Linked DNA regions of Arabidopsis thaliana. The protein of the gene in region 2 interacts with the protein of the main gene of each other region in a pairwise test. Each region holds a gene or a part of one and is shown on either strand. Other genes may lie near its edges. The genes, in order: LTA2 and LPD1.

Region 1 (7,614 bases), 3.7 Mb from region 2:
CGTAATTTATGGTGGGAAGTTTTGTGTACTTGATTTTGCTTTATGTACTCACGTGATGTGTTGTACAAAATTCTACATGTTCTTTGTTTTCACTCATCCTCAAGATTTCTATTATCGTAACGTTTCCTTCTTTTTATTCTTTCTTCCTTATATGCCTTGTAATATTGTTACAAATAACAATGTAACGTCTTCTACTCTCTTTTTTTTTAATACATATTTTTGGTTATGTATATTTCACTTATTTGTTGTCGGCTTGATTTAAAACAAAACAAAAACAAAACCATTTAGATGTGTTTGGTAATGATTTTAAATGCTGTAATTTGGATTTTAAAGTAACGTCTTTTTTTTTTTTTTTTTGGGTAAGGCAACAACAACGTAACGTCTTGTACTCTCTAATTATACAACACTTTTGTTTTTAATTATACAACTTTTTTGATGAACACAAAAAACCTAACTGACCGAGCATGTGTCCTGCAACGTACGTACCGAATTTTAAACCAATTAATAATAACGTTCAGAAATTAGAAAACGACATTTGAAATCCCAAAAAATATAAAACCAAATAAAAATAAAAACCAGAAAAAAAAAGAACTAGGAAAAAAAAAAGTGAAAGATCTGTGATGCCCAAACTATTCGTTATACACGCGCCAAAGTCTGCGTCTGAAATCACTCGCTTTCTCTTTCGTTACCGACTTTTATATCTGCTTCTCTTTATATCTTCTCTCCACTATAAAATCTCGTGTTTCCCCTTCTTCCGATTCTGTACCCATATCTCACGCTTAATTACAGTATTGCCACTCATTAAAACCGTACCATCTTAACCAAAGCGATAACCCGTACCACCGGTTCAGCTATGGAGGATTTATTGGAGGAGAGGCTAACTCGGACTGACTCTGTCGGGAATAAACGAGTCAGAGACGGGTTAGACCTCGACTCGCCGGACGTGAAGCGGTTAAGAGATGATTTGTTCGATGACTCGGGGCTTGACCCAGTGAGTCAAGATCTTGACTCGGTGATGAAGAGTTTCGAGAATGAGTTATCGACAACGACGGCGGCGCTAAGCTCCGGTGAAACTCAGCCGGATCTTGGATACCTTTTCGAAGCTTCTGATGACGAGCTGGGTTTGCCACCGCCGCTTACGCCACCGCAAACGCTTCTTCCTCCGTCGTGTGAGGAAACGGTGACGGAATTGGTACGAGCCTCGTCGGATTCATCAGAGGTTGGAGAGTTATGTGGGTTTGAGGATCATGTTACGGAGTTCGGACCTTGCGATCTTGGTGATGATGGGCTTTTCGAATATTTCGATGGGTGTTTAGATTCCGGCGATTTGTTTTCATGGCGGCCGGAGTTTTTACCGGCGGAGTAACAACATACCGGACCTTTTTAAAAAAGCGGGCTACGAACGGTGACGTTTTGTTAAGCGTTTTGCCTCGCTTTTTCTTTTTTCTTTTTTTTCCCTCTATTATTGGATAATAGGTATTAGGATCTATATATTTTGTTAAGTTATTAGGATTAGAAAAATCAAAATGTTTTTAGTAGGAGTAAGTGGTTTAGATTAGTTTGTAAGAACTTTTTTCTCTTCAGGAACTGTTAATCTTTAATCGCCTTTATCATTTCGTTAGCTTTTGTGTTAATGTTACAATCTTATATGATCATGGATGTATTCGGTATTCCAGAGATCAGAATTATTAAAAAGATTTTCATATCAGAATCTGAAATTATTGTTGATTACAAAAAGGTTCTAGACTTCCACCATTGCAATCCATATATATATATTTACTAAAAGTTTTTGCTAACTTATTCCTTTCCAAAAATACAATAAATTTAAACATGATTGATGTTAAAAAAAAAAAATTTAAACATGATTTAAATCATATTGTATACAACAAAATAAATAATAAAATGGTTAGTAAAAATTTAAAACACGAAATGAAAAAGGGATATTCACCCAAACAAGTTGAGTTTTGAAACAACAATGGTAATTCAATCTCTGATTAGTCCTTCTTTAGTTCTTTACAAGAATTGGGCTTGTGGTATGTTGGATTTCAGCCCTAATTGATATATGTCTAATTTTCAAATCCAAATAATGTTCGTTCTACTAAGTAAATTGAGATCTAAGCAATAGATTGCTTGGCTTGGGCACAATCTTTAAGGCCGTGCCCAAAAAAAATACAGACACAACAGATATGCCCTCAGATAATAGGCCGTGTCTAGTAACTCTCTTTTCTTAAGGCCGGTGGGCTGATTCTGGATAGGAAATTATTTGTTTAAAACCCAAAATGATGATTCTTGAAAACAAAAATACAGATACAACACAAGTGAAGAAAAAGATGCAAAAGAAGTAGAGCAAGACCAAGAACAATGAAGATTAAAAAATTTACTTGGGAAAAATTTGGCTCAGGAATTTTGGAAACTGTTTTTGACTTCTCGTCTTCGCTTGGCGTCTTATAAGGTCAAACTATCTGGATTCTCAATGATCTTTGCAAAGGTTTGGAGAAAAGCAGCCAAGTCAGCTCCATACACAATGCGATGATCTGCAGTCACATTCACCTGCCAACATAACAACAAAGCGACAATGTTACTGTTAGCATAGCCAAAAGCTATAGCTAATCGTATTTTAAACTTTCTAAGTCGAAGTGATTCACCAAACCCATCAGGAAGTTTATTAAGTCAAAATAAAACTTACCAGCATTGTGTTTTTTACACTGAAGAATCCATCCTTATCAGCAACTACAGTTGGCTTTGACGCTCCAACAGCCATAATAGCACCCTAGAGATTTGAGTATAACAATTAAGTAAATTCCTTGTAATCACTATTCATAGAAGAGGCAATGAAAGTTTCTTTCATATACCTGTCCTGGCGGAAGAATAGCGTCAAATCTATCCACTCCAAACATACCGAGATTCGATAAAGTAAAAGTTCCTGCATTCCATAGATATATCCCTTAAATCAAAATCCTTAAACACACTTCACATGTTTGTCATCTAAACAATTCGTTAAGAATAGTACCAGAGTTGTATTCATGGGGTTGAAGTTGCTTGCTTCTAGCTTTCCCCACCAGCTCTTTCCATTTTTGAGATAACAAGTACAAATCCAACTATCAAAACAACCAACACGACTCACACATTCAGTTAAAGAAACCAGCCTAATAATACCAAGTGTGTGTGTTAATTCACTCACACGCTAGCTATTTTCTACAACTTTATTGCTTATGCTTACCTTATCTGCATCTTGTAGAACAGGCGTAATCAGGCCACCATTGATAGCAACCGCCACTGCAATGTTAATGCTACTATTGTAACTAAAACTCTTCCCGTCTTTGCAGCTAGCGTTCACCACAGGATGCTGAGCCAAGGCCATCCCTGCAGCTTTAGCTAATAAAGCTGTCATTGTTACACCCTTTGGCTTCACCTGTAAACAAAAGCAGTGATTTAACATCAGCTTCATCATTCAATACAACATCAGCTTCATCTGTTTCATTCAATTCAATTTCACCTTCTCGTAAAGTGCATCAAGAGCGTCAGTGTTCACAGGATAACCAACACGGAATGTAGGAACAGAGAGACTCTCAATCATGTTCTTAGATACTGCAGATTGCATTGCTGTGAAAGGAACAATGCTTGAATCAGGTAACAGAGGAGGCAAATTAGTGGTGGTTGCTTTAGCCGTCACCGGAGGTGGAGGAGGAGGCGGTGGTGCGATGGAGGATTTGGACGGAGCAATTCCAGCCGCCGTCTCCACATCAGAAGCCGTAATCCTACCGAATGGTCCAGTTCCAGCAACGGATTCAATATCAACCTTGTGTTGTTTAGCAAGCTTCTTAGCATACGGCGTCGCAACAGTCTTCCTCGGACCATCTGATACTGCCGTCACCGGAGCCGGTTGAGCAATCGCCGGAGCAGGAGAAGAAGTAACCGGAGGAGGAGATGGAACGACAGCCTCAGCCACAGAAGAAGAAGATTTCGAAGCGGCTTTACTCTTAGCTTCTTCGATCTCAGCTTCAGTCTCAGCTAACAATCCAATCGCAGCACCAACCGGAGCTGTTTCACCTTCTCCGACGACAATCGCAGCAAGATAACCATCGTAAAACGTTTCTACATCCATATCGGCTTTATCAGATTCAACAACCACAACACTCTCTCCCTTGGCGAGTTTCTCGCCTTCTGTTTTGATCCATGACACGATTTTGCCTTCCGTCATGGTTGATGATAACGCCGGCATGAAAATTTCACGAATCTTAGATCGGACCGTCATTGAACGACGGTGAGAAGTCGCCGGAGTCGTGGAGCGGAAAACGACGCTGCGGAGGGATGGGGATACTGAGGAAGCGAATGAAATGTTGGATTTGGAATTGGTTAGTGAAGCTGTCGATAGAAACGAAGAAGAAGAAACCGCCATTGTTGAATCACAGAGAGAGAGAGATCTGAGAGAGAGTTTAGAGAGAGTGAAGTGGACGGAGAAGACGAGGTTGAAGTTCGTTGAGCGTCTTCGCCTACATTTGTATCAGTTACCAGTTTAATAACCGGATATATAATTAAACCGGATTAATTTATCTGAAACTTCGGTTTAGGTTAAACCATCTAGAAACAAAGAAAATTTAGATGCTTCTCAATGGATATTAGGTAACATAACAAAACCAGTTTTCTTATATATCTTCTCTGCTCTACCTAAGTTAGAGAATCAGATTCCAAAATCTTAATTTATAAGTATACTTTTGTTTTCTTAACCAAAAACATATCATACAATATTGCTCTTTCGTCTCATGTCGGAAAAGGTTTTGTGTTTTCTTTTATTTGTTTGAACAATAATTTTCTTGGATTTGTGATAATTTTTTTTTTTTTTGGGGTGGTGAAATGCAGAAGCAATGTTGTGTTGTGATGAGGATTAACTTGGATTGCAATGCTTGTTGTAGAAAAGCTAGGAGGATTATCATCAATATGAAAGGTTGGTTTATATTGGTTATATAAAATAATATGTGGATGAAATGAGCAAAGAAGGATGTTATGAAAATAAGATTTAAAGTTCAAGGAGGATTTTTTGAGTGGAAAATCTGAAAATTTTAGAAAGACATCGTTAAATTTTATCGATGTTACTATATGCACCATTTTATGTAGGTTTAGTCGTGGTGGATTTATAGAAAATTCAATACTAACACATGTTTTGGATACTTTTTTATGAAGAAGTTGATACACACATGATCAACAAAAAGGAACGTCAAGTAATCCTTTGCGGACGGTTTCGACCATCCGATGTTGCATTAAAACTGCAAAGGAAGATGAAACGGAGGGTTGAGATTCTCGAAGTTGAAGATCTCACCAATGGCCATGGAGGAGAAGAAGGAAGCGAGCACGAGCTACCGTATGAACAGCCACATGAATATTCTAATCAACCTGATCAGATGACCACACCATTGTTGTGTTAGATATCTCTAATTCGTTTGTTCTTCTATCCTCCAATGCCTAAACATTTGTGAGAACTATTAGAAGAAACAATGGCATATAATGACCAACACGTTTGTTTGTATGTACAAATATATAGAAAACTCTGTAGCGCAGTGCGGATGATCACCTAGTATATATAAAAGTTGATATATATTCAATGCATTACATTGTCTCAAAACAATTAATTATACGAGCGGATATGGGACTAGAAACCCGAGACGAATACGGTAAAGACAAGGTCTCGTTCCGAAATGGACATATATCTAAAATTTTGTTTGGTAATTGGGAAAAACGAAACCCAAACTATTGTTTAGAACATTTGGGAGAGCCGAGTATATAAACCTTTTACAATACACATCATTATTGAAATCTTAGCTTTCTGAAATTCTAAATGTGAGTTGGTTACCACAACTAAAATAACAGCCCAATTTTACTCATATTTTTAAATGGAGGGGAAGACTTCAACAACACAAGTGAACAACAAAAATGCCTACGACTATCAATGACAATGAGGATCACTAATGAAGAGGCCTTACAAGAGAAATATTCAAGTGAAGCTTTCTTCTTTCTTTTCTTTTCTTTTTTTGATTGAAATTTATGCTTTCTAGATTCACCCAATCCCCACACACTCACCATGACCGAAAAGAAGTTTCCTTTTCACGATCATCCTTTAGCATATGAGAAATTGGACAGATTTTCTTGCATTTTGTGCAAAAAGAAAGGTGGTTTTGGCTATTTCTGCGATAAGTGCTATTTTTGGGGGCATAAGGAATGCATCAAGCGCTCACTTCTGCATCCATCTCCATGCAAACATTCTCTCAAAATCTACACACTCGAGGCATTGGGCTATGCAGGTGACCATTGTCATTTTTGTAGAGATTATCTTCTTGATGATTTTTTTCATTGTTTGATATGCAACATCAACATGGATCTCAAATGTCTTAAAGATCCACCACCATCAAGTATTTATCACCCAAAAAACCATATGCATATGCTTACTCTTTTGCCGAGAGTGGTCACATTTACTTGTAATGCATGTAGCGTAGAAGGTAAGCGTAATCCTTATGTATGTCTTGAATGTAATTTGATGTTCCACAAGGATTGTATATATCTACCACGAGTTATAAGCATCAACTGCCATGATCATCGCATTTCTCGCATTTTTCATCTTGGTCTCGGAGATTGGAAATGTGGAATCTGCCGACAAAAGATTAGTTGCTCCCATGGAGCTTTTACATGCTTGCGTTGTCCTAGTCTTGCATTTCATTTAAAATGTGCGATGAAAGATGACGTGTGGGATGGAAAAGAATTCGAAGCTGAACCCAAAGAAGAGCTTGAAGATGAACTCGAAGATGATTCCGAAAAGGAAATTGAAGATGATAGTTCTGAAGAAGAAATCGAAGAACCATAAAACTAATGAAAAATAAATATTGGCGTGTATGTTATGAGAAATTCATTTTAAAGCTTGATGCGGATTCTGTTAGTGACAAACTGACAATGTGGTGCAACGATTGTGTCCAACAATGATCCATTCTTTTTGTATACATAATGTTTGACTCTTGACCAAACGAAGAACCCTGAAGTCTAAAATTTTGTCTATGACTCGTCATTAGTAATTCTAGAGTTAATGGAACATGACCACATTAGCCTAACACATGATTAAAGGGGCCAAACTCATTTTTAAAAGATTTTGAAATAAATTATTACAATTACAAAAGAAAATTAATTTATTGAAAAAATTGTATATAAATGTCTTCCTGATTTCTACCATACCAAAAATATATATTTCTTCCTGATTTTCTATGTAGGAGTTTCAAGATTTAAATTTTAAAATATGGCATATCAAATTTAACACTAGTAATATGGAGTCATATCTCAAAATTGTTTTTTATACCAATTTCACAAAACCTTTTTTATCTATATATGTAAAAATGTTTTAATCATTTGTTAAAGAAATAATAATGATCAACCTCTATGATCTAATTCAATTTTGTTGCCTTAAATAAAATAATACACATATGCCACGTTTGCCTTATTTACATAAAATCCCTTTAAAAAGATGTTACAAGCAATTCTGGTCGCGATTCTATACCAAAATTTCTTGAGCCTTAACCCTAATTTCGATTACGACGATACTCTCTGATGGCGAACGATAAGCAGATCGAATCTCAC
Region 2 (9,101 bases):
TCTAAAGGCCTCGGCGTGATCCACCTCTGTGCCAGTCTTGGATACACTTGGTCAGTCCAGCTGTTCTCATTGTCAGGCTTATCGTTGAATTTCCGTGATAAACAAGGGTGGACTGCTCTTCATTGGGCAGCATACTACGGAAGGGAGAAAATGGTGGCTGCTCTTCTCTCTGCTGGGGCAAGACCGAACCTGGTGACAGACTCGACGAAGGATAATCTTGGTGGATGCATGGCAGCTGATTTGGCACAGCAAAACGGATATGACGGTTTAGCTGCTTATCTTGCTGAGAAATGTTTGGTTGCTCAGTTTAGAGACATGAAAATTGCTGGAAACATCACTGGCGATCTGGAGGCTTGCAAGGCAGAGATGTTGAACCAAGGCACTCTACCGGAAGATGAGCAGAGTCTCAAGGATGCTCTTGCAGCATACAGAACAGCTGCAGAAGCAGCGGCTCGGATTCAAGGTGCGTTTAGGGAAAAAGCGCTAAAGGCAGCACGGTCAAGCGTGATTCAGTTTGCTAACAAAGAAGAAGAGGCCAAGAGCATAATCGCGGCGATGAAGATTCAGAATGCGTTCCGGAAATATGATACACGTAGGAAGATAGAAGCCGCTTACCGGATTCAATGCAGGTTCCAAACTTGGAAAATACGAAGAGAGTATCTGAACATGCGGCGCCAAGCAATTAGGATCCAGGTATGAAGTGAACCACACAAGATTCAGCAGCCAAGATTATAAGTTTGCTCTGAACTTGGCTATTCATAATCATCACTTTTGTCTAAATTCCACAAACTATAGGAGACTGAAAGTTCACACCTTTATCATATCGTCTGTCTGAATTTTGCAACACATGAGTGTATTTCCTCCTATTTTGCAGGCTGCTTTCAGGGGATTACAAGCAAGGAGGCAGTACAAGAAGATATTGTGGTCGGTAGGAGTATTGGAGAAGGCAGTTTTGAGGTGGAGACAAAAGAGAAAAGGGTTTAGAGGACTCCAGGTTGCAGCAGAGGAGGATTCTCCTGGTGAGGCACAGGAAGATTTCTACAAGACAAGCCAGAGACAAGCAGAGGAGAGGCTCGAGAGATCTGTAGTGCGAGTACAAGCCATGTTCAGGTCTAAGAAGGCTCAACAGGATTACAGAAGGATGAAACTCACTCATGAAGAAGCTCAGGTGAATCATCTGACATTTTTGAATCTCAGTTTTGGAAAAAAAAACTCTAACCGGAGATAAGTTCATACTTGAATTAACGAGTCTTGTTATGGTGTGACACAGTTGGAGTACGGTTGCCTGGAAGATATTTGATACATCAAAATGGCTATGGAGAGGTGAGTCAAAGAGAGTTTGGTGTTGATTGTTAAACATGGATGGTAATTGATCTGTAAATTATGTGAATGGGAAAGGCTACTCTCGATCTTTCTGCAACTGGTTTAGAATAAAGTATACATAACGAGACCTAATCTCTGTTGTATGAAAAAGAGAGACAGAATTAACAAATAGGTATTGTAGTTATTTGTCTATTTCTGTAACTGGGTTCCTATGTGACTTTGGTGTAATCTAGACTTGTATATTTGTAGAATAAAATTGCAAGTAACCAGAGAAATATCTTATGAACATTTGTACATTAAACTAGGTTCATCTTGTTTGTTTGTTTGACAAAAAAAAAAACTAGGTTCATCTGTCACTTCACGTCTGAATCTGATTGATAATAATGGACAGACAAGTGATTTTACTAGTAAAAAGAGAAGAATCATCCAAAATCGTTCACATCAAACAAACATACAATAACCAAAACCACAATCTCCACTAATTGAAACCATGGAACAATTAAACAAATATAAGTGAAAGCAGAGACAAGACTCCAACAGAAATATTCTCAAAGAAAGAAGAAGGCCTTGTAGATATATCTTTCAAGTCTTTACTTACGGAAGGTTGTTTCTCATCATCTCCTCCTCTTCTTCTTCCTTTTCGATCTTCCTGGTTCGTGTTTAGCTTTATCTTTGCATCTCCCTAAAGTACAATCACAAATTTTCTTTCTTCAAGATGTTTCTCCCCACCCCAATAAGTTTTTGGTTTCTTATTATACAACCACTTTTTCACTTACTGTCCTTGTCGTAGCATGACTTTCAACCTGAAAAATTGAACTTATAGTGTAAGATTCTTTTGCTTTTTAGTAGAGGACTTAAATCTATTGATTGCAGTTAAGAATAAAGGGGCTCTCTGATCAATGGCATGAGGAGACTGTTTTGCTTTACCTTGGCTGCTTTGAACAGTTCGTCGAGGACCTCAGAGAGTGTTGGATGTGCATGAACTGCCAATTTTATGTCCTGCAGAGATACCATTAAAACATGCAGGGGATCAAGAAACAGATACAAATAATGCGTTTAGTAGTTTCAGCAGGAACTATGTATATGACTTGATTTCGCTGTAGGATATTATCAATATCAAAGGCTACGAGCTAGATTCAATAGTAATCACTAATCAATGAAATCCTACCTGAATACGCGTTCCTAGAGCAATCGCATTAGAAGCTTCATGGATAAGGTCAGCTGCATGCAGTCCAAATATATGAACTCCTAAGATTTCACCATTGTCAGGTCGGTATATCATCTGCATAATGAAAAGCAATGAGATCTCTATGTTCTTTCATGAGACATAAATAAATCAACAACTTTTGCTTCTCCCACCTTAGCTATTCCTTCTCCTTCATTTTCAGCTAGGGCCTTTGTGTTAGCCTTGAAACTTGTCTTGACAACACTAACTTTAAATCCTTCCTTCTCGCCTTTTTCTTTTGCTTGAGGCTAGCAATAATGTCAAAACATAAGGAGTTACAGTAAGCATATTTTGCTCATAGCATTCTTCTTTTTGACCCTCTTCTGTACACAAGTACTAGGATATAAAACTACCTCTGTTAATCCCACCATGCTGATTTCAGGATGAGTAAAGCAAGCAGCTGGGATGCTAAGATGATTAAGCACATGATCTCTGCCGCTGACTTGCTCGACCACTAGCCACAGAGTAAGAGCTCAGAGTTTAATACAAGGCTCAAGAAGAAAAAAGGGAAAATATTATTGCATTGTTAGTAGCCTCCTACTGATAAGCCATTTACCAGAAATTCCTTGGGCACTGGCTGCATGTGCAAGCATCAATTTACCATTGGCATCACCAATGCAGTACAAGTTCGGAACCTATCACAAGTAGAAATGAATTTAGCATATAGAAAGAATTGCTGACAAGGAAAAGGTATGTATATGCAAATAAAACCGACCAGAGTCCCCTTTCCATCGATCACACGCATTCGCTCATCAACTGGTATGAAACCTCTCTGCGTCACAACATTGACCTGCATTGAGATGACAGCTTCAAGGTTAATTTTCTGACAACTAAACATTCTCTGGTAACCAAAATGACAATACTAAAAGGTGGGATTTAGTGTCATTTCATACATTTTCCAAGCCAAGTCCATTGGTGAATGGAGCTCTCCCAGTAGCAATAAGAGCAGCATCTACCTGGAGAAGGAAAACAAAATTACACTTTCAGCGCAGAAAATCACATGGTACAATGAAAAGAAACCAAAAGACATGACTATTTATATTCTATCTTGAGACGAAAGGCCACAATAAATTCAGAAAATGAGAAGCTTTACTAATCCACCTATGCATAATGTGTATACTTACATTTCTGTGGGAAGAGTAACAATGTGGTTAATACTGCAGCGAAAAGCAAAAAAGTGAAAAACAAGACTTCTAAGGACCCACTACCAACGGCACAAATCTTCCCAATTCAGGCATGAGACATCAGATCATGTTAAGGACCCAGTAACTGTTAAATATTCTCTTTGTGAGACATCAGATCATGTTATCTTTTAAATTCCATTTGGTTACCTCCAAAGTATCCTTAGGTTCCTTGGTTTTGGCATCAATAAGCTCAATCAGAACTGGTTTCCCATCCCTTGCCGGAGTAATCTGAATAAGAATAGATTTAAGTTTAACAGATGAATACATGGACACACTGTATAGAGAAAGAGAAGCAGTATTTGCAATGCATGATATAACAGGCTCACTTTGCTTGCAAAGACTCCAGTATGATAGTCAATCTTTCTTGGATTTATCAAAACCCTCTGAGCTAGCTTACTGATCTCAGGATCAAATCCAGGCATTAGCTGATCCAGTGCTTCTATAAAAGTTACCTGCACAAAAGGTTTCCGTTTTCGATCAGTAACTACAATTTAAATCGAAAAACCAACAGATTGGTACCTTAAAATCTTATTTTCTACTATTTACACAAAAACAAGCTCAATACAGGAAGAGACCAAACAAAGAACTAGAAAATTGGAGAACATTGCTAATTGCAGTTATTACAATCTCAAGTACAAGGACACAACATCACAAAGTCGTACTAAAGTAATATCATTAGTACAGAAACATCATGTTACCTCACTTCCAAGAGCTGTGTAAACATCACTGAACTCAAGACCAATATAACCACTTCCTACAATTGCAATCCACTCAGGGACAGACTCTAATTTCAAAGCATGGTCACTGGTGATCACAGTCTTTCCTGCAGCGCCAAAATGTAAACATTCAAGGAATAATCAAGTCTGCATGCTCCCTTAACAACTCTACGTCCAAAACAAGAAACGTACCATCAACTTCAATTCCTTTAGGGACAAACGGCACAGATCCAGTGGCAATGATTATATCTTTTGCAGTAATAATATTGTCCTTCCCATATTTAACCTTTTGTGGACCCTGCAGAAATACAAAATATTGATATGAGTTAGGATCATCGTTTAAGAAAAGTTTGTATCATGTTCCTGTCTACAGTTAGTAAACGTGAAAGAATAGAACGTACTACTGAGTACTGACCAGAACACTGCCAAATCCAGTCAATATGTCAACACCAATTGCCTTCATTGAATTGGTCAGATTGTTTCGTATTTTGGTAGCCAGATTATTAGCATGATCTGCCACACCCTGACGATCATATCCAGCAGCTGAAACCTGTTTCCCAAAGGAAAACCAAAAACCATAAGATAGTGAAAGGTAATGAGTAATTCCTGAACTAGCTCGATCTTCTACAACCATTTCACACCAAAGACAAAGCTTGCAACTTTAAACAGAGAACATGAGTTGATATTTACCTGGAGACCAAAGGACTTCATGTGATGTTCGTTCTGAAGTTCCCGCATTCGACCACTAACAGCAAGAAGAGCTTTAGAAGGCACACATCCTCTGTTAACACAAGTCCCTCCAACAACATCTCCTTCAATAATGGCTGTTTTAAGTCCCTAACACAAACAAAATCACCAATGTTTCCATAATAAGCAGAGCAAATCTTTTACTTTCATCAAATCAGGTTATATAAGAAACTTCAAACCTTTTCAACGGCGTGCAAAGCAGCTCCGTGGCCACCAACTCCAGCTCCGATGATGATCAAATCGTAATCGAAAGATTTCGGTGGAGCGCCATTACCATTACTTGAAGCAGAAGCGGAGACTTGGAATGACTTCCTACTTAGAAATTGGATTCGGTTACTGCGAATAGCCAACTGATTCGACGTTGAGAAACCAAACGCTTCCCGCCGGAGTCCGCAGAACCGGAGACTTCTGGGCGTAGAGAAAACAGAACCAGATGATCCGAGCACGTGGTTTGGTCTTGTAAACGACGTCTGGGAGAACGAAAGCGCCATAGCTGATTGCATTCTAAGAGACACAGACAGAGAGAGAGAAAACGAGGAAGACGCAGCTGACAAATCTACCGGCGGAGACAGAGTGAGTGTAAATAGCCAACAAACGGAGGCGGAGTTTTCAAAGCCCGCTTTGTTTGTTTGTTTTGTTTTGTTTAACCACTTTTTTTTGTACACGAGGCATTTACGACTTTTCTTTCATTTTTTCTAACCTGGTTTAAGTCTTAAAAAGCCCATTGGGTCAATAGACCTCGTAGCCCATTTTTGGCTGTGAATATATATTTAAATTAATTTTTGGATTTTGTAACAAACTTAAAAACAAATCGCTTAAAAAACTAGTTTCTCTAGATTTTAGGAACTTTTTGGATAGTGAAGTTGATTTTCAAAATTAAAATGCTTTATGAAATACCTCGTAGCCACTTCACGCTCATAAGATCGTGTAATTTGTTTCATTAGGGTTATGTTATTACTTGCTCGACAGTTCTAGTAGTGAATTAAAAGTAGCCAGCAAGATGTTGATTTCGATGAAGAATGTGGAACTCGCATGGGAACTCATTAACCACTACTGCCAAGAAGGCTCGCTGCAGCGTCGTCCAATCAACGAATTCTTTGACTTTACAAAATATAGCCGTGGTAATTTATATAATCCATCACCTGAAAAACAAGCAAGGTAATTAATTATATCTATGCATAAATATTCATGAAACAAATTGCTTGCTTTTTTCCTTAATGGTTTTTAATTTTATTTTTCATGTTGTCCTGGTGCAGCCGTGGGCCGAGGTTGACGCATATTGGAAATTACCTTCTTTAGTTAAGGACATGTATGTATGATAAGGAAGGGACAATCTTACATGGACTTTTCCCTGAGATTTGACGTGCATGGTTGTTACACGATCGTTCTATGCTTCTATGGCGTTTTGAAGAAAGGTAAATTATATAAAACAGTTCACAACTTCAAGTACGTTTTCGTAATTTTTTGCTTTGTATTCACCAACCAGTAATGGACGAATTCTGGAGCACAAAAGCGAGGACGACCACCCTATTTTAGTTGTTGGTCTAGTGAAACGTAGATCAGATTTTGTTGAAGCCAGCGCCGCGCAATATCTTTTGGTGCTAGCAACTCATCTTGAGACTTGAGTTACTTTTTTTTGGAGTGTATTTCTGCTCTAAAAATGGTGTAGATCCTCTTGCTCAAGTAGCCAAAGAAGCATGATAAAGTCATTTGGTAAATGGTAACATGTTTATGATCATTATGCTTAAATTCTCTGTGTTTCAAGAAAATGCAATTGTGTTAACTTGATTTTTTCTATATTAACTTCGGTATATACCGAATAAAAGGCTCCAAAAAATCGATTTTAAAGATCAAATGTTTTATTTTATTTTATTAATTTATTTGTTAGATAAATAAAGGTAGCTACACAGAGCAGTAATGTTAAAAAAAATTCAAATATTTTGAGAATCCCAAGGAGGACAAAGATCAAACATTCCAGTCTTTTTGTTCAGTTTGCAAGGTCCTTCTTCACGTATCTTCCATTCGCATCTTTTGCATCCAAACATTGCAGATTCTTGGTCTCTTTCTTGTATGTATATACGGAAATAACGAAACACTAGTCTCCAAGCAAAAGTGCAAATGAATTTAGTATCTCCAGAAACACTGGGTGTAAATTCAAATGATCACGATCCACCAGCTAGCATACGTCGGAGTCCAAAATCAACGTCTTTTGATGCACAATGGTATGCCATTGGCCAATAACCTGAAAGAGCGTTATGTATCACCACTGTTGTATTTGGGTTCTCAACACTTGGTGGTGAAGCCATGGGGTTTTGAGCGAGGGACATTGTTACACTTGCACACATAACGATAATGAGAGCTACAAGTTCTGCTAGAGCACCCATGTTGTTTTTGTTTTTTGTTTTCCTTGCAATATGAAAGTATATTGAATATGGACTCTTTCCACTTAGTACTTTATTGTATTTATAATACCAAACTTTATTGATTATGTTTCCCTAACAAGCTTCTTTGTTTTGTTGACTCAGTTACATAGGTTATATGTTTTGAATAATATGAGTCAAAGTAAAACTTAATTAGGTATAAAAGGAAATCTCATCTTGGTAAAAAGACAGCTATATCTTATTATATAAAGTATGGATTTCAAAGTTGCTAACTCATATAATTGTTACACATGTCAAGTCAAACGATCAGATGTTTACATGTGTCATTCAAAATTTAACTTTTTTATTCTCTAAAAAAAATTGAAAATTTTAAAAAGTAAACAAATTTACATATACTAATTTATACGTCTATATATTTATAAACAATTAACATTTATTCAACAAAAGGAAAATTAACAAATTTGTCTTTAACTCATCTAATCATAAGTGAAAAATATAACATTTTGAGAAAAATAGCTTAGCTTATAGGATTTAACTTTTCAATTATTTTCATTTATTAATTTTAACTCATTTAATATTAATTTGCATGATGTAAAATTAACTTACGAGATTACGGCATATACAAAAAATATATTTTCAACAATGTTTGGTTTCTAAATATTTTTGTGGATTGTTTTTTTTAATTAATTATTAGCCCTATGCGTTTGGGTATTCGGGTCGGGTATTTCGGGTTCGGGTTTTCGGGTTTAGAAGTTTAGGACCCGTTCGGGTAATTTAAGATTTTGGGTCGGGTTCGGTTTGGGTTCGGGTTTGGGTTCGAGTTTATTTATATATTGAAATATGAAATTTTGTGTGCAAATTTATTAAATTACTTGAAAATTTCAAAAATTCCCAAAACAACACGAGTAGTTTTGCTTGAATATATCTAAAAATACACAAAAATCACTAAAATATCCAAAAAAATCCTAATATTTTTTATATATAAGTATAAATATAACTAATATATACTTATATTTGAGATATGTTTGGATACCTATTCGGGTTCGGGTTCAAATTTTTCGGGTTTTGAAGTTTAGACCCGTTCGAGTATTTGAAAATTTCGGGTACACCCGCCTAAATAGGCGGGCCTAGTAATATATGTAGTCAATAATCTATTTATAACTTAGGTATATAAGGAAAGCTATATATTTCTCACCATTAAAGTCACATATTAATTTTGGTAAATATAAAGCTATATATAGTCAATAAAAATTATATATTGAAGGAAATCTCATCACGATTATATAATTGGTCTTGAGTCAGTTAAATAACCGTACCTCTTAACTAACAGTATTTTCATCTAAACATGAAATACTAATTTTTATTTTTATTAGAAAAATAGAAGTAGACATACATGCTAATTATTTTTAAAGCGATTGAGAATTCCAAGGAAGACAAACATCAAACATATTACTGTTCTTGTTCAATTTGCAAGGTCCATCTTTGCGTATCTTCCATTCGCATCTTCTACATCCAAACTCGGCGA

The links.
Region 1: the proteins of LPD1 (region 2) and LTA2 interact in a two-hybrid assay, tested with the Arabidopsis thaliana proteins (2 studies listed by BioGRID, with this or other methods).

Annotation. Positions count from the first base shown.
Region 1 is NC_003074.8:9,457,417-9,465,030, reverse strand, and holds LTA2 (2-oxoacid dehydrogenases acyltransferase family protein), read right to left. Parts: upstream 4,599-7,614; 5' UTR 4,400-4,598; coding exon 3,497-4,399; intron 3,413-3,496; coding exon 3,221-3,412; intron 3,099-3,220; coding exon 3,011-3,098; intron 2,924-3,010; coding exon 2,853-2,923; intron 2,771-2,852; coding exon 2,687-2,770; intron 2,551-2,686; coding exon 2,446-2,550; 3' UTR 2,018-2,445; downstream 1-2,017. Other genes in the region: AT3G25870 (uncharacterized protein), read left to right, coding at 854-1,366; AT3G25855 (Copper transport protein family), read left to right, coding at 4,764-4,775, 4,861-4,945, 5,182-5,423; AT3G25850 (Cysteine/Histidine-rich C1 domain family protein), read left to right, coding at 6,077-6,853; AT3G25840 (Protein kinase superfamily protein), read left to right, coding at 7,585-7,614. UniProt on the Arabidopsis thaliana protein: The pyruvate dehydrogenase complex catalyzes the overall conversion of pyruvate to acetyl-CoA and CO(2).
Region 2 is NC_003074.8:5,784,686-5,793,786, forward strand, and holds LPD1 (lipoamide dehydrogenase 1), read right to left. Parts: upstream 5,841-9,101; 5' UTR 5,699-5,840; coding exon 5,375-5,698; intron 5,286-5,374; coding exon 5,139-5,285; intron 4,999-5,138; coding exon 4,864-4,998; intron 4,747-4,863; coding exon 4,641-4,746; intron 4,556-4,640; coding exon 4,431-4,555; intron 4,185-4,430; coding exon 4,059-4,184; intron 3,961-4,058; coding exon 3,880-3,960; intron 3,505-3,879; coding exon 3,442-3,504; intron 3,339-3,441; coding exon 3,264-3,338; intron 3,184-3,263; coding exon 3,105-3,183; intron 3,003-3,104; coding exon 2,902-3,002; intron 2,797-2,901; coding exon 2,683-2,796; intron 2,606-2,682; coding exon 2,492-2,605; intron 2,323-2,491; coding exon 2,251-2,322; intron 2,127-2,250; coding exon 2,100-2,126; coding exon of another isoform or gene 2,076-2,099; exon of another isoform or gene 2,006-2,075; coding exon 1,823-2,005; 3' UTR 1,700-1,822; downstream 1-1,699. Other genes in the region: AT3G16940 (calmodulin-binding transcription activator), read left to right, coding at 1-693, 875-1,168, 1,271-1,300; AT3G16960 (plant self-incompatibility protein S1 family protein), read right to left, coding at 7,127-7,260, 7,369-7,579; AT3G16970 (Plant self-incompatibility protein S1 family), read right to left, coding at 8,983-9,101.